Linked DNA regions of Struthio camelus. The protein of the gene in region 3 interacts with the protein of the main gene of each other region in a biochemical or structural test. Links are inferred from orthologs where the notes say so. Each region holds a gene or a part of one and is shown on either strand. Other genes may lie near its edges.

Region 1 (6,967 bases), on a different chromosome or scaffold from region 3:
GGGTGTGTTAAAACATGCTTAACAACCTATCTGGGAAGAAAGCATTAGAGTATCCTATACTTAGAGTCAGTAAGATTCTAAAGATAGTACTACTGCTTTTTGCTGTCCACTGAAAAAGAAGTGAAAGGCTTCACACCACGTTACTTATATCACCATATAAAGCTAACAAGGAACATGAAGGGTTTTTCCTAGTCTCAATGACAGTTTTAAAACTTTCAAAGCTTTGTGCTTACCCCAGAGTAACTCAAGTAGAGCCTAAGCTAAAGCAAAACCAAGCAGAAAATATTAAATAAGTAAATAGGTACCCTACAGACAGGGTTTAAAGGAACCTCAGTCCCCTTAAATCAGCCTGATAACAAGAGCCTTGAACGTGTTGATGAAGGCAATTCCTTCTTCAAAAGTTTGACAAAAATTGGCTGCTAGTCAGCGGGATGCAGTTCAACTTTAGTACTGGATGACATGAGCTCTATTCACAGCCAACAGTAGAAAAAAACCACCAATTACAGACGCTGGAAATTAACTATAAACACTAACTGGTAGCAGAATCCTACACACAAGTGAAAGTTCCACTGTGGAGATAGTACACTTAAGTTTCACAGAAATATTGGCATAAATAACCTGAAAATATTTTTAATATCCAAGTGGGAATTAAACAAAGCATGACAATTTATCTAAACCAATATAAATCAGGAACAGAAGTCTATGGGCCACTACACAACATCAGATGGCATAACCATGACCTCTTGTCGTAGAGGCTGTAAGTTCTCTCTCCCCATTTTGGAAGATCACATACACAAATTACCACCTTGTTTATCTATCACACAAATAGGTCTTAACTCAACATTAGAAATGAAACTGAAAGTTACAAAATTCTAAATGTGACCCATTAAGTCACACTGTGCACCTGACAGATTTGCTTTGGGCAGCTGCTAAGAGAGTATCATTCAGCACTCTTTCTCTTGGGAGGACTTCCTACTGCACCATTATTACTGTGAGATGCTTGCCAGGGCTGCCGATACATTTTCCAGCTATAGATATAGGATGAGTACATATTTGCAATGCAGTCAGCCACATCTGCCTACAGCACTTACATTCATCCAGTCCCAGCTGATAAGCCAGGTTCTGCAGGCCTCGAACCTTCTCCATCAGGTTAGCAGTAGTGAGGCTCCCCAACTCTAAAAACACAGAAAAGCATGATTTTTAACAGCGTATAGCCCTCTAGTGGCAATGTACCTGGGCTTACTACTTCACAGAGCACCTTCAAGTCCAACTTTTGACAATACCCGTTTCCACTGAACAAAATACATTCTTTAACTCTCACATTTCAAATCTCAGAAGCACGAAAGACTTATAACAACCTCAAAGTCGTTTTGCTTGCCAGAAATGCTAGGATCCAATGGTTCAAAAAATCACCGATAGTGAGAAAAATATCTTCACCTTTGTAAGCTCTCTAGCAGAAGCTTATTCGCACTACATATTTAAGCGAGCCTGTCTAGTTTCATGCAAACAGGTACCATTATCATTGCCTAAGGCATCACCCCAGGAAGCGTATTCTGCTATTTTTCTTCTTTGTTATTGCCATAGAGTTCTTCATGATCTTGTCTTACGCTATTTCTAAGCGGTTGAATTCTTTGAGTAAACTAATTCTTCCAGATCATTAGCATGGACAGCTTTTGAGCATCGATCCTGCTGTGTTCATTCCTTCACAACTCAGTACACTAGGCACTACTGAACCACAGCCAAGCAGTGGTATTCACATAGTCACCCCAAGTAGGTAGAATCTATTGCCTTAACCCTTTAGTTACACTGCAGTTGGTAGTGCTCCATGTCATTGAAAAATATTAGTGGATTCATGTGACATAGCTTGCTCTACACCACATTTTAAGAAAATATCGTCTACTTAGCTGTTCCTCCACCTGTCCCTTCTCTCCCCTTAAAAAGGAAACAAAAAAAACCCCCACCCATCTGCTTTAGTAATCTTACCTGCTACTCAAAGGCACTGCCCATACTCACCCTTTAACATATCAATATCATCATTTTCTAATTCAGCCATCCATTTGGGAGGAGAACTAGTAATAGGCTGTTTGAGGGGAAAAAAAAAAACATAGCTCAGAAAAGTGTATTTATAGCAGCATACAAACAAAATGTGGTCTAGGATTCTAGAAAATACTCACACTGACAGTAAAAATAAAAGGATAATAGGTGCTCTGTAGAGATTTTCCTACACTTAACCTAACTTTCTAACTTTTTCTATAATTTTTGAAAGTAACACCAGTACATACCACTCAAAAGCTGAAAACAGCATAAAGAACAGCATTTTCTACAGTTTTTCTAAAAATCTTTTATTTCTTCCAAGAACCAACACACTACATTCACAACAAGGTATAAGAAGAGAAGCAAAGGCTTATACTGAAACATTCTGAAGTTACAGTTAAGAAATATTTTAGAGAAAAAGGTCACGAAGCTCACAACAGGAAAAAGCAGATCTATCAACAGGCAGGAAACGGGAAAACACGAGGTGCAAACTAAACGTTGCTTACACTTTTGAAGGAGGCAGCAAATTCAGCAACACCTGGTACTGAAAAAAAAGAAAAGAAAACACCAGGTGAGCGGTTGCGGCTACAGAGCACTACGGCCTCCTGCCCATGGGCAAGGCCGCTACCGCCTGCCGAGACGGAGGGGCCCCACCAGGCCCCCCGAGGCGCTGAGGCCAACGAGGGCCACCGGGCTCGGGGCGGGACTTACGCTGCTCGGGCCACAGGTCCGGGGAGGCTCGGTCCAGCTTCTCGAAGCTCAGCAGCGAGGCCTCCAGGTCCGCGCCTGCAACAGACAGGGATGAGCCTCCACACAACCCACCAGCGAGGAGCGGCACCCCGACCACCCCCTCCCGCCTCACCGTCCCCGGGAGCCGCCATCTTGCCCGTGTCACGTGACCCGCCGCCACGGCCCGCGGGATCCGCCCACGTGACCCGCAACCCCCGCCCCCGAGGCCCAGCCCCGAAACCTCACGTGTCGCTGTGGCCGCCGCCACCAGGAGGCGTGGCCGCCCGCCGACGCTCGGCCAATCCGAGCTGCGACGGCCAGTGGGCGTCTTGGGGCGGGCGGCCAATGGGCACCCCGCAACGGTGGGCGGTGGGGCCGGGGGGCGCGGCGAGGGGGCTCTCCGACGGCGATTGGCCGAGAGCCGCGAGGGCGGTCCAGGAGGGGGCGGGGAGTGGGCGAGGCCGGCGCCCAAGCGGCCAATGAGAGCGCGGGGGCGGTGCTTCGGGCCGCGGCGGGTCGGGGCGAGGGGTGCCGTCGGGGGGCGCGGCGCAGCACTCTGGCCCGGGATGGCGGCGGCGGCGGCGGCGGCGGCGCGCGGCGCCTGGGGCGGGCGGCGCGCGGCGCTCAGGGTGAGGCGGCGGCAGCGGCAGCCGTTACCCCCCCGCTCCTCTCCCCACCCTCCCCCCGCCGTGGCGGCGCGCCGCGGCTCGGTTCGGCCCGGGCGGCGCAGGGGGGCGCGGCCCGCCTGGCTCGGGAGCCCCGCGCGGGGGGCGGCGGCGAGGGGCTGCGGCGGCGGGGGGAGCAGCCGGTGCGGCCCAGGAAGGGCGGGCAGCGCGGTGGCGGCGCCGCTGGGTCGGCGGCTGCCTGGCCCGGGGTGGGGGCGGGCCGGGCCGGGGGCGCTGACCCGCCGTCGGGAGCGCTGCCCGGAACCGCGTTTGTGTGTGTTTCCGTCCCGTCCAGCTGCCGCGGAGAGCCGGTGCCCCTTGGATCGCCTCAGCCGCCGCCTCCTCCTCCTCCTCCTCGGTGGTGAGTCCGGCGCCGCGGGTCAGAGCCAGCGGGCGGGGGGCGGCGGGGGAGCCCGCCCCGGCCCCAGCCCCGAGGAGCCTCTCTGGCTTTGCTCCTGACACAGCCAGAGACTTTATTCCAGTCTGCTCTTTTGAGGTCGTTTCTGTCGGTTCGCCTCCCCGTGACTCCTGCCTGGCATCTCTGGAGCAAACACTGGCGACTCGCAGGGAACAGGGCACGGAGGGCCCCTTTGGTCAATAGGAGGAAAGGAAAGAAAAACACTAGTTAGACGTCAGATGTGTTTGACTCCAGAGTGAAGGAGTACCAGCTCTGACTGAACGCTCCCTCCTTGAGCTGTGCTCTAGCCGTTAGTGCAGTTATCCCACGTTACTTTTTCTATCGACTCCTGCGCGTGTACCTAAGGACGATATGCTAGTTCGGTTGACCACTGCTTGGTGTTTTGTTTTCTCCGTGTTTATTAAATAGCACACAGTTTACTAAGTAGCCAGGTTTTTTTCTGATTTTTAGACTTCCTTTGCTGTGTGTGATATATCTTCAGTTAGTTAGAGCAGCAAAAAATAAAGAATATGTGATTAATGATCCTGTGTGAAAAAAAGGTTATGTTAAGTTGTATGACTGGCCTCACGTAGTCCATCTATGGCAGAGACAGAATCTGCTTCTCTTAGGGCAGTATTTAACTGCTTTAGCTAGTATAGTATCTTTTCTCATCTGCTATCCACAACTGTACAGTTTCCAAGTTTGGAACAGATAAATCATGATTGTCCAAAAAGTCTGCTTTTCCACAGTCATTGTTCCCAGAACAGGCTCATTCTCTAGAGAAGAAGAGCAGGGGCATCTTATGGAACAAGTACAGTCAATATTGATTCTAGCATTTCCTAAACTGTAGAGTGTAATTTTTCCTTGCATGAGGAATTCCCTAAATATGTTTTTTCAAATTGCTTAAAAAAGGTAAGTTCCATTGTACCGAAGCCCACATGGGTCATGTAGCTTTGGAGCCTATATGTCCACTGCAGATATGTGCTACGTGGGCTTTTTTTTTTTTTTCTACTCTCATCCGCTTTTGACTCTTACTGCTTGTCCAGCCAATCCCATTTCTTTTCCTGATTCTTCCTCTCATCTCTGTCCCTTCATTATGCCTTGGAAGGCATTGCAATCCTCATCTCTCTCATAATTCTATGGCCTAATTTCTTTCCTTCACACAGCTCCCTGATATTTTTTTTTTATATTCTAATCTTTTTGTCAGGCATGTCCCATTTCTGTTCTTCATACTGCAGGTCTGTTTCCCCTTTATCTTATCTGTTCTCCCCACGCCACTGCTTTCTGACCTCGTCTCCCTGCAGTTCTTTATCCTTCCTCGCTGTTCTCTGCATGATTAACTGGTTCCCGCTTTCTCCTGGTTCTCTCCTTACCTCCCAGTATCAACTCTGTACTCTTAGTATCCAGTTTCTTCATTTATGCAGTCCCATTCTGGTTTCCTGCTTGCTACAGTCTTGTTGCCTATCCAGTGATAATTACAGCTTCTATCCCTGCTTTTCCTCCTGCCCTAAATTTAGCTGAACTTTTATTCCAAACTTTGCTTTTCTCTGTTCTGCGCCTGAATTGCAGAGTTCTGTCCCCCATGCTGCCTGCCAGGACAATCGCTGTGACTTCGGTGGATGTAGTTTCCTTGCTTTTAGTTCCAAGGCCAAAGGACCATTCAGTTTTATGCCTGCAGCTATGAGCTGGGGAGGTGACTGACTTAGTGGCTTGATGGGAATGAAGTGTGTAGTACAGTCTGCACTGGGTACATGGAATTCTCACGAGGTGGAAATATTCACCATTTTTTCTGAATATTTATGAATTGCAATTTTTCAGTCTTCTAACTTGGTAAACTTTGGGTGATTGAGTAGACTGAAATACTTCTGAATATAAGCATAACAATGTATTTTTTCTTGAACTGCTTTTAGAAAGAATTATGGCCAATTCCATTAAAAAAGGCGGGGGGGGGGGGAAAGGGTGGACAGCATGAAAAAATTCAGCCTGAAGAATTAGCTGGACATAACTGTAAAGTATTGGGACTTTGCCCTCTAACAGGCAGCATAGCAGTGAGTGGTGAAGGCCTGCCTGTAATAAGGCACGTTAGTGTGTAGGCACCTTGAGGCAAAGATCACTCATTGTCCCGTGTTTGTCTTCCACAGCCAACAACCAAACTGTTCATTGATGGGAAGTTTGTTGAGTCCAAAACTACTGAATGGATCGATATCCACAACCCAGTAAGTGAAATGGCCTCTGCGTATCTATCAGCAGTCACTGTGCAGCAAGGGTCTGTGCCTCCATTGAGTCATCTGGTGGGAGGGAAAAGTACCTATATTTCTTGAGAAAGTCTTAGACTTGGAGAATAAGACAGATTTAGAACTGTGCAATTGCTTCTCAGTTGCATCTTCATATGAAATGTCAGTCTTAGGAAAGTGATGACCTCCTTTCTCTCCCTTGTGTAGTAAAACCCAAAGCCATTTTATCCAAATATCCAAAGAGGAAGTTTAAACACTACTTACCTTTCTTTTGCTCATGGAAAGGCTTTGAGAAGAGTATTGCAAATTTCGGAAGGATTTCTTTCACCCTGTATGTATGCAACCTCGTGTGATTTGATGTCAGCTAAATGTAAAAGTCCTTATAGAGATTGATTTCACTCTCAGACCAAGGGGAACATCCTGACAGCTGAAGCTCCTCCTCTCTCCTTTGAGAGAGCTTCTATCTGTGAGCCACAATATTCACAGTGAATTTAGACACTTGATGCTATGCAATGCAAAACTTAACTTAGATTAGTAGCACTTGCACCCATCTCAGTTCTACACCAAGGACAAATGGAAATGGGACTGTGTTCAAGGTTCTGACCTTGCAGTAAGCCTTTGGACAGCAGTTTCTGAAGCTTTTCTCTGTAAAGCCTTATTTTCATGAAGCTCATTTGGTCTCTGTGGAGTCTCCATTGGCTGTGGAGCAGCCATCGTTCTTGTTTCCTTTCGTTCCTGTTGTACTTGTAGTTTCTCTCTTAGTGACGTACCTGATATTTTGTCATGTCAAAGCAGATTTCATTTTTAAGAGTGCACTAGAAGGAGGTTAAACTGGTAAAGACAGGATTTAAAAGTTAAAATATTATAGAACTAAAGCTGATCATAAAAATCTCACTTCTGCCTAGTGA
Region 2 (7,836 bases), on a different chromosome or scaffold from region 3:
CTCTTCACATGCCAGTGATTTCATCAGCAAAGGTATACGAGCTGAAACAAAACTCCCTTGGGGTTCACACATTTGTTGGTAACTAGCTTTCTGGTATACTACACAGCTCGTTAGTGGTGGGGAGAGGGTTGACAGTGTTAAGAGAGTCTGGGAATTGGAGATAGCAATAAATCAGGGTTTGGCAGTTAATGTATTTGAATTCCCCACAAAACAGAGGCATAAACAGCCATTTTATATTTGTAACCCATCGGGTACTTCAAGCTCTGGTAATTATTACAGAAATAGAAACTTAGAGAATCTGTCCTCTCATTTACTACACTACCCCACAGCAGGCACTTCTGCTGCAGTGAACACTCGGTGCGTCAGAACTTTTTAACCCCCCCCACCCCCTTTTCAAAATAAAACAATAGATTAATAAGGAAGTGGTATTTTCAGCTGTTGGGTTAGATTTTTAGAAAGCTAGAATTGCTTTTCCAGACTGATGTTTTAACATATTAAGGGGAAGGAAGGAAGCCAATTTTTCTCAAACAAAACACTGCAACATCAGGAATAGGAGCTCCAAACAACATTTCTAAGAAGCCTCCTAAGATTATGACTGCTGAGTCAGATGAAATGAAATGGAAGTTCCTTGAAAGTCTTAAACAGCTGCTTATCCCTGAACTTCGGATATAAAATCAAAAGCTCTAGATCTTTTGCAGCACAATGGTATCAACTACATAAACAGGACAACTTCAGTTCTTTCCTGTTGTTCCTTTGGTTGTACCACTCACATGAACAGACAGAAGCTGGAGCTGAAAGAGTCTGCAGCTAGCACGTCCCTGACATGACCAGACAGCATCTGTCCAGCAGTTCAAAATCCAGAGTACGAAGTCATTTCCTTCCTAAATATTTCAGTGTCCTCCACAGAATTCAGAGGAGTGGCAAAAGTCACAGTAAGTCACCAAAAAAACAGTGCAACTGAAAAACTACTCCCAAGCAAGCTCCTTCTGGTCTTCCAAGTAAAGGAGACAATAACAATACTCTAAGCAATAACAACACTTACATTTACCTAAGACAGCTCTCTCTGTCAATGACCCTCCTATTTGGAGGGCACCTTTGAAAGCACTTCACAACTGCAAAAAAAAAAAAAAAATACACACTCTGTAGCATCAGACATAGCAAAACATCTCAGCAAAGTGAAGGTCATATTACACTAGATTTATTGTACAGGCTTAATTTTTAACCACGCATCTTCTTTGTTTCTATAGCAGCAGCATCCAGACAGGCATCTCATTCTCATACAATTATATAGTGCACAGCACTTTACAGGGACTGAAGTCAACAGGATAATAGTTATCCCTGAAGCACAGAGGTCAAAAGAATCCAGGGGAAATGTTTACAGACAGCAGTAATTTACATAGTCCTACACAATTTCCGTCTGCAACAACTGTGAATGTAAAGGGCGGAAAAGCCACTGGTTGACTCAACTGCTTTTCACTTGAAAAGTCTGGACTGAAAAGCAGATCCTGTCTTAATCTAGGGCAACCCCAGGGAACGGTCCAGACTTAAGGAGTTAAAGGTCACATAAATCACCCTTCTGCACCATAAAGCTTCACTCTGTTACCTGTCCGCAGACAGCACAGAACTATACCTGCTTATTAATGAACTCTACCACTTCTAAACAAAATATTGCTTGCATTTGTTATTTTAGGTTCTCACAGTACATGCTACACAAAGCATTTTAAAGTTAGTCTCTAAACAAATAGAAAGTTTTCAAGACCAGTGACCTGCCTTTCCCCAGAACCACAACAACACTCACACACATGAGGAGACAACTCACGTTCAGCCAGTAATCGGACTACGATACAAAGCGCTCGGTACAAGTATCACTGCTTAGAGTACTGCAAAAGCAGTAAGCTAACTACTGCAAGAGATGTCCACTCCAGCCGTACGGTCACCTCATCTCATTACAGCCTTGCACAAAGCCCCATTCCCAACACCAACTTTTCCAATATCATTTTCCGCAATCCTATTAAACAGCTTGGCAAAGCTGCAAGACACACAGGCTACGTACAAAGTTGTACTTACAAACTCTTCAGTTTCACACAAGTTTATTACGCTCTATAGGTATGGCTGTTTCTTTATTTCTCCTCCAACTGTATGCATTCACTGCATCAGTTCAGCACACTAGAGTCTGTCCAGAAAAGGACTGGGCATGTATTTGAAGAGGTGATGACATGGCTTGTACTATCAGTGTTAGGTCCCTTGCTTATACCTGGCAGGGAAATAGTGAGGATATAATCTTATGCCTCAGGACATTCTTGCCCCCAGAGAGGGGGCAAGGAACTAAAGGATCAACAAAAAGAGTTTATATATTAAAAAAAAAGAAAGAAAGTTACTGCGCACAAGTCCTCCACAGCACTAAAAGACAAGTAGGGCATAACGCTTCCAGCAAAGCCTTACGCAGCCCGCACAAGCACAAACTCGAGCCCTGCCGTAAAACTTTGCAGCGCCCTGCGCAGAAGCCCTGTACGCTGTACCTAGGAGCTCTTCCTCGCCGAGGAGCAGCCCCCGCGCTGCTCTCCCCGGCCCCAGCCCCTCGGCCTGCAGCAGCCTGAGCGGCCCGGCCCCCCGCGCTGCTGCAGCCCGCCGAGGGGCTGACGGCGCCGCGCAGCCCCCCCCCTCAGGGTACCCCCGGTGGGGCCGTGCCGGGTGCGGGGGCCCCGCTGTCCCGGGGGTGGGGGGGAAGGGAGCGGGCCGCGCTCCTGCCCCGGCGCCGCCCACCTTGTTGTTATACTCCTCCACGAAGCTGCCCAGCGCCAGGCGGAACCGCTTGTCCGGCCGGACGCTCCAGTTCATGGCGTACACGGTCCAGGGCGCCTCGTATTTGTAGATCTCCTTCCGCTTCCCGTGTAGCGACATGGCGAGGCAGCGGTGGCCGCGGGCCCCGGAGGAGGAGGAGAAGCGGGGGAGCCCCGGGCTGGGCCGCGGGGCCCGCCGGAGGGCAGCGGGGCCGGACGAGGCGGCAGCGGGCGCGGCGCAGCGCGGGCCGGGCCGGGCCGGGCCGGGCCGGGCCGGGCGAGGCGAGGCGGCAGCGAGCGGGGCGAGGCCGCAGCACGGCACCGCGCCCCCGGGCCCGGCTCCAAACCCGGCGACGGCGAGAGCGGCGCGGAGGCCGTTTGGGATTCGGTCCCTCACACAACGGGAGCGGAAGCCACGCGGGGAGCCCCGCCCCTTGCACACGGCTTGGCTGCCTGGCCTGTCACTTAGCTTCTCGAGCAGCTATTGGGTAATTCTCCCGTCCGTTTGGCCCTCTTTGGCTTTCTATTGGTCGTTTTACCCATCATTCCAAACGGACGCTAGCCCCCTTGAGTGAGGTAACCTACCGTTGCGTTTGATCCCACCCCAGACGGAGGCCATACTCGTTCTTGAAATCCCATTGGCTGCTAGGGGTCGCAGTGGCATGAGGCGGGGTCTTGAGACCTTACTGATAACGGATTGGCAGGAAGAGGTGTCAGTCACGTGAGTTGGAGGCGGTGGAGCACTTCAGGCGCGCGCTGGGGTTAACGGTTCGAGCCCCGCCTCCGCCGAGTGCCTGACAGGGTTGCGTTTATCTATAATTAACCGAAGCTTAATTATCGGATTTTATTGTTGGTAGCACTTAACAGCCTTGGAGCAATTCCCTGAGCCTTACCTGGGGAAGGAGCCTGTGCGGGCTTCCCAGGCAGCTCCTGGCTGGACGGGGACAGGCTGCGGCCCAGCGCGCCTGGCGTGAGCCCCTGGGCCTGCGGGCCGAGGAGCCGTGGCAGCCCAGGCCGGGCAGCTATTTGGCTCTGTCGCGGCTGCCCCGGGGACCCGATGCGGGTACAGTTGCTCCTGAGGTGCTCATGCAGGTCCCTTGAGGGCCTTGGGGCTCCCCAGCTCTCTGGGCTGAGCAGGAGAGGCGGCACGGTGCGGGGATGCGGCGTCCCCGCCATGGGGAGCGGAAACCTGAGCTGGCGCCGGGTATAAATAGCTGCTTTGCTGGAGCTGGGCGTGGAGCCAGGGCCTGAGGGCAGCCCCCCACTCAGCCGTGTGGAGCCAGATGGGCTGGAGGGCAGGGGAGGGCTGGCAGTGCCTCGCGAGGGCCTGCCTGGAGGAGGAGGGTGCTCCTGGCATTTTTGGAGCATGCGAGCCCAGTGCTGGTGCTCCCCGGAGCCCCCCTCTCAGGGCACCCCAGTCTGAGCCGCTCTGGTCCCTGTGCTGTGCCTGCCCTGCGCCCTCTGAAGTCCCCGGCTCTCCAAGGCAGGAGGGCTCAGCTGGGAGCAGAAGGGATCAGTTATGGGTGAACCTGGGCTCAGCTCTCCTTATGGAGCCATTGAGTTTGGACAGGACCCAGAGCTGTGTCTCCTTTAGCAAGGGATGTAGAGCGGGTTCTGGTATCAGTATGGTCATCTGACATCCCGCTTGCTCTAAGGACTCTTGGCGTAATCACTACCTGAGGTGTGTTTGCTAGATCGTTTCACCTATGCAGGGGAATAGTAGCTGGCTGGTCTTGTAAAAAAGCTTTTGCAAAGAGCTGCTGAGACCAAACTGCATCCTGTTGGGAAGAAATTGTTCAGCAAACACCCAGCAGACCTCATCCTTGATCTGTAAGATCTGCTCATGGGCTCCGTTAGCACCATAGTCCCTGGCAGAAGCATCTGGGGTTTGACCACGATCTTCTCAAGGGTCTTTACAGACGAGGACCTGGACCCTGAAGCTACTGCCAGGGATGAATTTGCTGATGCTCCCAACAAACACGCTGCAATCCACATTAGGTGCCAAAAACATCTTTATTAGCAAAGTGTACACTAAAACTCCGGAGAAAGAGATGCTCACAGTTTTACTACTCTCAAAGGGAGCTCAATATATTACTTGAGCAGGCGGCCTAGGACTGTTACAGCGTCTAACCGAACGGCAAGGTGGCAGTGCTAAGTGGGCTTCTCCTATAAGGGATGCTGCAGGAGTCTGCTGGGAAAGGTCTAGGGAAGAGGAAGCATCTATCAAACTTTTATCAAAAGAGAAAAGCTAGGAGGAAAGGCTGGACATGAGATGTGTGGGGCGTTTCGGCTTTCTGGGATTGTGCTTTTGAGTTTTGTGCTTTATGCCCAGGCCAGTGAACAGTTGGATTCATCTGGGGAGTTGTGGGATACGCATGTTGGGGTTTGCAAAGTGCAACCAGCCTTGCTGGAGAAGTCAGTGCCCTAGGACTCGTGCTGAAGCGTGCTGGAGTGGTGGGGGTTGTCGGCCCTTAGTTTCTCAGTGGCAGTCAGGTAGGACAGGAATGGCTTCTGTCCTCTGTCCTTGTCCTGGGCTTCACCCCTGTAGCTCCCCCCAGTACTGCACTGTGCAGTTCTCCTCCTCCTCTGGTGACTACCCTTTCTGTAAAGCCAGTGCCTTCAGGCTCTGCTGGGCTAAGCCCAGCGCCAACACAATGGTCCCTGCTCCAAAGAGCTGACAGCAAAGTGGCCTCGCAGCTAAGCTCTGTGGATTTGCCCTCCTCCGGTTGCTGTGGCTCATTTGGCTTGCACTATTCTTGGGAGGAAGCCTTGGCAAGGAAGAGGAGGTGGGTGCTGTTTGGCTTACCCAGCTTGTTGATGGCCACAGGAAAGAACTGTTCTGGGTTCGCTATAATGTGCAAATGAAATCTACTCTATGGGATCCACTGGAAAATGTTGATCTTGGAAGCCAGCCACTCTATGCTTCCTTTCACGGTGGCAGAAGACAGCTACAAATTATACCCCTGAGCCAAAGGCATTGTCCTCCATCTTACCCTGGCAGTCAACGTCAACATCAACTGAATGAGTTCGCAGTTGAGGTTCCTCTTGACTCGCTTTGCAGCCGCCACAGCTCTAACTTCCAGGAAGCACAGGGTCGGAGAGGTGTCTCTGAATGTCCTGGTGCTCTGAAGATGCCTCCAAGTGCTCAGGAAGGGAAGGGAAGCGAGAGCCCCGGCAGAGTCCCTGGGTATTTGGTGCCCTTTGGTGAGGAGGCTCTGGGTGCGGGAGAATTGGGGAATGGTGCTCCTGCTCGGAGTAGATCGTCATGGTTTCGTCAGATGCCACAGTCAGGTGTATTCCGCTTGACAAGGACTCCCTGGATTTCAAGTGGAACTTATCTACCTCTGTGTAGCTCGGGCTCTGGGGGGAAAGGAGGAATCAAGTCGGTTATGGCAAAAGCAAAACGATGTAGCCCCAGTCTCTCCTCACCCCATGAGGCTCCAAACCCCAAAATATCTTTTTTCCCTGAGGGGACCTCAGAGCAGAGGAACCCACTCCCCTCCCCATTGACTGGGCAGCCTGCTCATGCTGGAGATGCCCCTGAAACCAGCAGTGCATTGTGCAGAAGCATCTCCAGGTAGATGTGCTGCTTTTTCAAGACCCCTGGGCTTTGCTTGGGCCCTTGAGCCTGGCTGCGCTTTGTGTATAGGAAGGCTGGAGAGAAACACTGGCACTGCGTGGACCTGTCTACTGGAGGTGGAAGAAGGCTCCGCTGGTGCTGAGCTAGGAGTGGTGGCCTTACCTGCCCTGGGGCTGTCCGCTCCTCTTCCTCTAGGGGTGCGCAGGGGGTGAGCGGCTCCAGGCTCCGCGGGACTATGCCGTACATGGCCAGGTTGTGGGAGGACGGCGAGATGGGGCTGTACGCTGGTGGCACTTGGGACAGCTGGCGCTGCAGGAGCTGGAGGATTATATTAATGTCTGACGACATCCTGGACTCCAGCCTGGGGACAGAGCAACCCGGCGTTAAGACAGTGCATCTCACTGGTGCAGCACCGAACAGACAGATTTGGCTGCTCCACACCCCGAGGAGGTAAGTGGCATTTGGATGATGTGGGTAAAACCCCTGTGCAGGAGAGCAAGACCTGAGAGGCAGCAGCGTGGGTGCTGCCCGGGGCCTTTAAACCTGCATCTCTGGTGTGGGTGGTGCTTCCTTCTCATCCGGAAATGTGTCCCTTTTCTTGTTTAGAGGGCAATGATCTGCACAGGCCTCGTTTGCTCAAGCAAGAGGAGATTTGCAGCTCTTTGCAACAGGAAGAGGAGCCCTGCAAAGGGCTCAGGTCATGAGCCTCTGGGTGGTTTCATGTCTGTGATTGCATCAAGACTGGAGGCAGCAGCAAAGCAGCTGTGCCCAGAGGTGGTGGGACAGCAATGGATAAGGTGCTAGGCCACAGTCAGGCCAAGACTTGCAGTTCAAGCAGCTGCTATATTTGCAAAGCGCTCTTACCACTTCCCCAAGGAGTGCAATCTCCCAGAGGGTCAGGAGGTGGCATATGCTGCAAACAGAGCCTGATGCAGCCACCCCTGGGGAGCAGGACAGGGTGATGGCCCAGAGACCCCCTAGGTGCCCTTCAACCCCACACCTGGGACCTGCCCCACCTGGTGAGCTGGGCCTGCAGGAGCTCCAGCCTGGACTCAATCTGTCCCGGTCTGTAGTCGTCAGACAAGGGGATGTCCCGGGATCTGTGCACCAAGGAGATGTGTTGCAGGGGCTCCAGGTTATGGTTCGGCTCTCGGTCTTCCCAGAAGCTGAACATGTTGGGGACGTCCAGGGGGGTGGCTGGAAGGGGAGGAGAGATCTCAGCACTTCTGTCTCTAGCATCCCCTGGCCCTGCTGGCATGGGTGCGCTGTCTGCAGCCCTGCTCCAGATGCCATCACCTGACATGCTTGTAGGGATCCATCACCCTGGCACCTATGGTGGTCATGGAGCTCCATCACCCTGGCACCCAGAGGTAGTCCCAACAGGGTCTCTGGGTGCTATGAGAAACCCCAGGGCATGGGAGGGATGGAGCAGGCACTGCCAAGGAGTAAAAAGCAGTAAGGACCTTTGGCCACAAG
Region 3 (6,915 bases):
GTTACTCCGTGTGAACTTAACATGGGTGCGATAAGTCATTTATGAGCATCATATGTAAATTCCCACTCTCAACAAAACCCATATACTTTAAAAACTGATAAATTCCTGATTACTACATCATTATTTTACACAAGTAATAGAACACTACTCATAAACTGTCGTTGAAAATTCTTGGCTGCTATTTGGTAAAATTATCCTTGCTGCTGCTTCTCTGCAACTGTCCAACATGGGAGGAGGGGGGTTCCAATGACAAGTCCAAAATCTTCCTAAGTATTGAGTCAGTAACTTCAACATTGTTACTGATGTAAAAAACTTTCTATTAGCCTCGAAACAATTATAATGGGTGCACAATAATTTAAGAGTGTGAATTGTCCTCTTTCTTGATTTAAGACTATGTTCTGTATTCAATTTTGAACAAGACAGACTTCTTACTTTATTCAAAGAATATTCAAAATCAATGAATTAAACCTGTTAAGTCTTGGAGACTTTGCCGGAATTTTTAATTCACAGAAGAAAATGTAAATTTAACACAACACGCTCTACTTCAGACTGTAAATAAAAAAGTTGTAATTCTAAATAGTTCATATGAGCCAAAAACATTAAGCATATCCTACAAAAGTAGTCTCTCTCTGTATATATCTATATACCCCCCCCCCCCAAAGTTCACTAAACATATCTGGCTAATAGTTAACAGAAAAATACCAGCTCATATTCAAAATTAATTTCAGTGTTATTATTTTAAATGTATTAAGTAAAATTTTCCAAAAATATCTAATCTACAGATGTCAGGGTAAAGGGCAAGAAAAGGAGAAACAAGTTTTTCCAAAACTTCTTACGCCTACAGACTATTCCATTGACAGAAGTCAAATTATACACAGTTACAGGCAGATAACTGAATGCTACTACAAACAAAATGTTTGCCTATTTGTCGCCAGACATCATTGATGTATTCTTCAGTTTTACACTCCTTTTCTTAGGGAAAGGACACTGAAATACTAATAAAATAATAAAAAATTAAATTCTACCTATCTAGATCTCTGGGATATTATATTCATGTAAAAGTGACTGCATGTGCCTACTGGCAAAAGTTAACAGGACACACTCTTCATGATTAAAATGGTAGATTGTCAAAAACATGCTTGTTGATTTATTTTGTAGTCAGATACTCTCTGTTAATTTTAAAGAAAAATGAATGTTTATTTCCCCCAATAACTGTGGAGTAATAGGAGAACCAAGTAACAGCAGCAATCTAGACACATGATCAAAGAACCCCTGCATAGTCTTTGGACAGGCTAAACTGAAAACTTCAAAGCTGATTGAGATTCAAAAACGCACCCATTTCAAAATTCCTAATTGTAGTTCTTTTAATTGTGTATTCCGATTCTGGGGGGGGGGGGGGGGGGCAGGAGGAAATGCCACTTCACAGAGAGCACACTCTATGTTTCAGATGCAGTCTCTAATTTCCTCAGCAACACAAAGCTGAATTCCTACAAGACTGCAGGCAACCACTAAAATACAGAAGCACCTGTATGCCCGTGTGCATATGCCCAATGCTTCTCTCCCCTCTTCCCCACCCCACCCCACCCCCAGCCCAGATGACAGTAATCATACACAGGTACTCCTTCTTCATCGGCCTCCAAGTTCCCCACCTACCACGCGAGTCTCTTGCAGGGGTGCAGGCAGGGGCACCTAAAGCCTCCACCACAACAGGTGCCTGCTCAGCTGATTGTTCAACTCCTGACACCCTCCTCGCCCCCTCTCCCTGCTCCCAGACCGGGGCGAGACCTCGCACCCGCCCACCGCAGGGCGTTGCGCATAAGAGCGAGAGAAGCCAGGCAAACTCCCTTCCTCCATCTCCGGTCCCGCAACCCTCCTCGCCGCTCCGCTTCCCAATCCGGCAGCGACAGCCTCCCCTACACGCCGAGGGGAAAAAGGGCCGCAGAGGCGGCCGCCGCCTCCGAGCCGCGCAGAGGCCGCCAGCACTGCCCCCGGCCATTCCCGGCCCTCCCCAGAAGGGGGCAGCGGTAGGGAAGGCGGCGGGAAGGCCGGGTCCAAAGCCCGGTGCGGGTCCGGGCCCTGCCAGCTCCGGCCGGGGGCTCGGCGGGCCCCTGCGCTCTCCCCACCTCCTCTCTCTAAGATGGCAGCGGAGCTGCCCCCTGCGCTGCGCCCCCCTCGACCGCGCCGGGCCGGGAGGTGGCACCAGCTCGTCCCGCTGCGCAGCTCCCCGCCACCGGCTGAGGCGTCTCACTTACCCGTGGGGGGGGGGCGGCGGACCCCTGGCTGCCGCCCGGCTCCGGCCTCCTCTCCCGGGCGGCGGGCACACGCAGAGCGAGGAGCGAGCGCTTCCCCCGGCCTCGGCCAGGGGCCCCGGCACGGCAGCGCCTCCCTCTTGTGCGCTCCGCAGTCCGGCCGCCCCGCCGCGCTCGGGCCCGCGCGGCTGGCGGCGGTGCCGGTGCCGCTCGGAGTGCGGGGGGGGCGGGGGGGGGGCAGCAGCGGCCGCGGGGGCTGCCCGCAGCGCGCCTTCCTCTCCGGGCGGCGGACAGCGAGGGAGAGGGGGCCCGGCCCGGCCCGGCGGGCGGATCCGCGACGCTTCCTGGCCGGGTTGGATTTTCTATCGCTCACAAAATGGCGCGCGTTCCAAACCTGCGCAGCGCCCGGCGGCGGCGGCGGCAACGGCAGGGCCCGGCCTCGGCTCGGCGGCGGCGGCGGCGGCCTGAGCCCCGGCCAGGCAGCGCGGGGACAGCGGCGGGCGGGCGCGAGCGGGCGGGGGGAGGAGGAGGAGGAGGAGGAGGAGGGGATGATGGGGGGGGGAAGCGCAGCGCCGTACCGAGCCCCCGGGAACTCCTCGCTCCCTCCCTCCCTCTCTCCTTCCCTCCCCCGCCTGCCAGCCTCTACCTCCTCCCCCTCCCTCCCTCCCCGCCCGCTCCTCCTTCTTCCCCCCTCCCTCCAGAACCGGCTTCGCCAGGGCTTTGCGCCGGCCCCGCACCGCACCGCTGCCGCCGCTTCGAGCCTCTCCTCGCTCGCGTGGGGCGAACTTCTCGCCTGCCGCCGCCGGGCCCTCCAAGACAGTTTTTTGGGTTGTTGTTTTTTTCTTTTTTTTTGGGGGGGGGGGAGGGAATTCCGTTTTCTTGCTTGATAATTTTTTTTTTCGAAGTGGAGGTAGGAAGGGGAAAAAAAAAAAAACCTTCCACAATTCGGGCGGGAAGGGTGGGATTTTTTTTTGAAAAAAAAAAAAAAAAGCTAACTGACAAAATGGCGACGAGGGCGAGCCTGTTACTATGGCAACTGTCAATCACGCTACCCCTGCGCCCCACCCGGGCCGGGCGGGAGACAGCCGCTGACGTGGGGAGGGTGGGGAAGAGAGCGACGGGTAAAAGGCGGGGCTTGGTCGCCGGGGCAACTGCCGCCTCCCCTCGTCCCCCCCCCCCCCCCGCGCCTCTCCGGCATGTGACGATATCCGCGCCGCTGCGGGCCGGGATGGCCCCGGCGCTCTGGGGCCCCAGGCGGTGGGGGAGGGGCAGCGGCCGCTCCTTTCGCGCCGCGAGGCCGGTAACGGTAACGGCCGCTGCCTCGCGCTGAGCCGCGCGCTTCTCCGCCCGAGCCGCTTCCACGCCGCGGGTGCGGCGGGGCTTTCCCCGGCCTGCAGGTGGCGGGGCCCGCCCGGCTGCGGAGGGGCTAAACCCGGCGGCGGGCCGGGCGGCTCTGGAGGGAGCCTGGCCGCCCCCCCGCAGGGACGGGGGCCGCCCGGGGCGTTGTGGCCGCGGGTGTCCTTGCTCGGAGCTGGGAGAGGGCTGTCATGGGGGCTTGGTGGGCGCAGGGTTCCTCTCCATCTCGCACTGAAAGATGTATTTAAATATAGATATATTCATTTTTTTTAATAAATATTTTAAAAAGGTGTTGCTTCGTGTGGCACTCACGCTGTGGGTATGTGGTGGGGAAGGGAGCCTTGGGTTCTTGAGGGAAGACTTAATTCCACTTTTTATTACGGACCGGAATTAGGAACGTATACTACTAATGTAAATCTACGCTAGGGATTTTTTTTTGTTTTTCCCCCAGGAGCATCCATGAAGATCCAAAAAGTAAAATGTGGCCTTCATCTAGTATTTTAATTCTGACACCTGATTTTTTTTTTTAACCTTGTTGTTTTAGTTCACAGTCAGCCTTGCCCCTTGAAGAAATTAGGACATACTACTAACACTTGTGCCATTACTTTTTCTTCTTCTGTTTCCTTATTTCTTTCTGAATTTCAGAGCTAAAGGTAGGTGCAGTAACAGCCAAAGTAGTATGTCCCCAATTATCTAACCATAGCTGTACAAATGCAGTTTTACAAGCAGTTCAACTGAGCTAAGAATTTGTTGCTGTTGAAAATAGCAGTCCACCCTCTCCACCTCTAGCTATTTAGTCCCTCTGTGTCTTTTCTACAGCAACAGGAGTGCTAGCATAGAGTAATTGACACACCGACCCTGACAAAACAGAAAACAGGAAAACCTCTTTTGTACGGCTAGGATAGGGCAGGAACACACGGCAGAGGGAAGCCTGGGACCAGCCCATTGAGTAACAGCATGGGGTTAGGTTAAGTTAAGTCATCCATGAAATTGCACCTTAAAGCCATGGTAGGTGTTCAGGAGCAGCATGGTTTAAGTGGGTTTAAGCAGTCATTTCTCATTCCCCTCACTCCTGGAAAGACTGAGAGGTCACTTTAAGCTACACGTCTTTCTTCCCTAGAATATGATCAGAATGCAATTCTTACCCCAGGATGAGGAAAGCCAACATGCATATTCTGCAGTGTAACAAAGGCATACAGATTCACCTGCTTCTGCTCAAAAGACTCCCATGTTAATATTGTCATATTTTGTCCTAAGATATCTGCGTGCATGGTATATTGCACAAGAAATCAAAAATACCTAGAAAGCATTAGTTGTCTTGCGTAAGCTCAGTCCAATTGACCTCTAAGGAAGGGCAGCTCATACGCTGGTGACAGTGAGGTCTGTCCCCATCAGGATGTTGTAAATCTTGCTAAAATCTCCTTGCTACTCTGGATGGTGACATGGAGCAGCAGAAAAATGCAATGGAAGATTAGCTCTGTTGTTCAGTGTGGGTAGCTACAAAGCTCATACAAACATACTGTGGCATTTACTATATTACATTATGTTATACAGCATGTAACAACTTATAATTTTTTTGGCTAATGCTTAAACAGATTACGGAATTCTCATGCATTTGTGCACTTGCTCTGTAATCCTCTGCTTTTATTTTGTTGGCTATAGCCAAGCTTGCAGAGATGGGTATATGGCAACTGGAGCTGAGAACACACAGAGCGTGTAGGAAAAAGTTGAAGTGTCCTATTGGACATAAGGGGATGGCCTTTTTTTTTTTTGTTTTTGCCCAGCATATAACAACTACATAGTCTTGTTTTGTTGTTATAATCTTGATAATCAATAACCTACACTATTCTTCTCTTGTACAATAGTCTTCTCTTAAATGTCCATTACATTAAAAGCACATATACATACACACACAAACTGTCTACAAAATTTTTTGTTCAGTAACTCAACAGCTCAAAAGCATTGAAGCTGTTAATGGTTAAAATTAAGGAACAAGGCCCCCATGAACTAGAATTCTACCAGAATCCTGCTCCAGCCACAGATCTAGGGTGAGAGCTGGCATCAGGATGGAGTTGTCTGCCCATATGTATTGGGAGTAGGTCTTGTGTCTTCTACTGCAGGTAAGTTGTCTAGGGTTAGAGATCTTAGGGCCTTCCAGGCTGGGATTATACCAAAATCCTGCCCACCTGGAAAGCTAGCACATAGGCTGGTAGTAGGACAGAGCTTTATCTCATCACTAGTAGCTAGAAGTCCTCTTCTGTGCTGCAGGTAGAGAAAAGGTTGGGTCTAGCGTTTGGGAAGTGACGGTCTTCCAAGCAGAGACTCTCAGCTTGCAAGCAGTTAAGTTTTCTTCTGTTTTTAAAACCAGATCAGCTCCCTGATCTGTTATGTAACATATCCCACAAATGGTTGTTGTGGAATAACTGAAACATTGGTACTCCACAGACAGACATGAGGGGGAATAAGGGATAGAAGATGAGGGTATACATTAGCTGAGTTTGCTGGTGAACTCCATGCAATAGGCCAAAAGTAAACACAGACAGCAAGAGACCTAGAGCTCCTAAGAGATCAGCTTTGGAAAGAAGTAGTTGAAATAGAATATGTAAGAGAGAGACTGATCCAGAAGAAGGGGATCCAAACACTTGCTAACTTCTGCTTCGTTCCACATAATGAGGAGTTACTACATCTTACAATTTTTTCTTTAGGAAAAAAGGAAAGAGAGAGGAAAAGACTGAGAGAGGAAAGACTGATAATCCTTTTCTTCCCAGTTCTGCAATATTTTTTACTCTCCGTCAAAAACCTAAGGATGGTTTAGACAGCGTTTCAGTGTCACACTTTAAAACAGGATTTTGCATCTTTATAATCAAGTAGACTTCCTCCTAAGAAATACTTGGTTTTCTCTGCCCAACAGACACTCTGACCTTAGAACACACAGTATATTTTGGGTCGAAAAAGTAACAATAAGCAGAAAACTTGAGGACAAAATAAGAAAAAATAGTACCTAAAAAGAAAAATGAGGAGGAAAGAGTACAGTGTGGAGAAATAAGATCTGAGAGAAATAAAATTGAAAGAGGAGAAAAAATATACGACAGATTAGAAAAACAGAACAAATGCAGAAGAAACAACAAAACAGTACAAGGTTCTCTAAGTTCAATAAGTGCAAAGTGAAGCAATATAGAACATTCAAAGCATTGTACTATCCTAATCAGAAATTTAAAGTCAACCTTCCTTGACTATCTCTCTTTCTGCCTGTCTTTCAGTATGATTACACTGAAAAATATAATCCTTCCTGTTTTCCTCTATTTTTAGT

The links. The genes of interacting proteins can lie anywhere in the genome.
Region 1: of the proteins of DYRK1A (region 3) and LIN52, one has a biochemical effect on the other in vitro, tested with the Homo sapiens proteins (3 studies listed by BioGRID). The link is inferred for Struthio camelus from reciprocal best matches to the Homo sapiens genes DYRK1A and LIN52.
Region 2: the proteins of DYRK1A (region 3) and DCAF7 form a complex in vitro, tested with the Homo sapiens proteins (2 studies listed by BioGRID). The link is inferred for Struthio camelus from reciprocal best matches to the Homo sapiens genes DYRK1A and DCAF7.

What each region holds. Positions count from the first base shown.
Region 1 is NC_090946.1:57,307,884-57,314,850, reverse strand, and holds the start of LIN52 (protein lin-52 homolog), read right to left. Parts: upstream 3,002-6,967; 5' UTR 2,916-3,001; coding exon 2,897-2,915; intron 2,821-2,896; coding exon 2,746-2,820; intron 2,579-2,745; coding exon 2,541-2,578; intron 2,081-2,540; coding exon 2,014-2,080; intron 1,176-2,013; coding exon 1,092-1,175; intron 1-1,091. Other genes in the region: ALDH6A1 (methylmalonate-semialdehyde/malonate-semialdehyde dehydrogenase [acylating], mitochondrial), read left to right, coding at 3,330-3,392, 3,724-3,789, 5,967-6,041.
Region 2 is NC_090966.1:4,187,956-4,195,791, reverse strand, and holds the start of DCAF7 (DDB1- and CUL4-associated factor 7), read right to left. Parts: upstream 3,002-7,836; 5' UTR 2,902-3,001; coding exon 2,764-2,901; intron 1-2,763. Other genes in the region: KCNH6 (potassium voltage-gated channel subfamily H member 6), read right to left, coding at 5,853-6,140, 6,523-6,721, 7,377-7,557. UniProt on the Homo sapiens protein: Involved in craniofacial development. Acts upstream of the EDN1 pathway and is required for formation of the upper jaw equivalent, the palatoquadrate. The activity required for EDN1 pathway function differs between the first and second arches.
Region 3 is NC_090942.1:122,405,699-122,412,613, reverse strand, and holds the start of DYRK1A (dual specificity tyrosine-phosphorylation-regulated kinase 1A), read right to left. Parts: upstream 3,012-6,915; 5' UTR 2,992-3,011; intron 2,426-2,991; exon of another isoform or gene 2,253-2,425; intron 1-2,252. UniProt on the Homo sapiens protein: Dual-specificity kinase which possesses both serine/threonine and tyrosine kinase activities. Exhibits a substrate preference for proline at position P+1 and arginine at position P-3.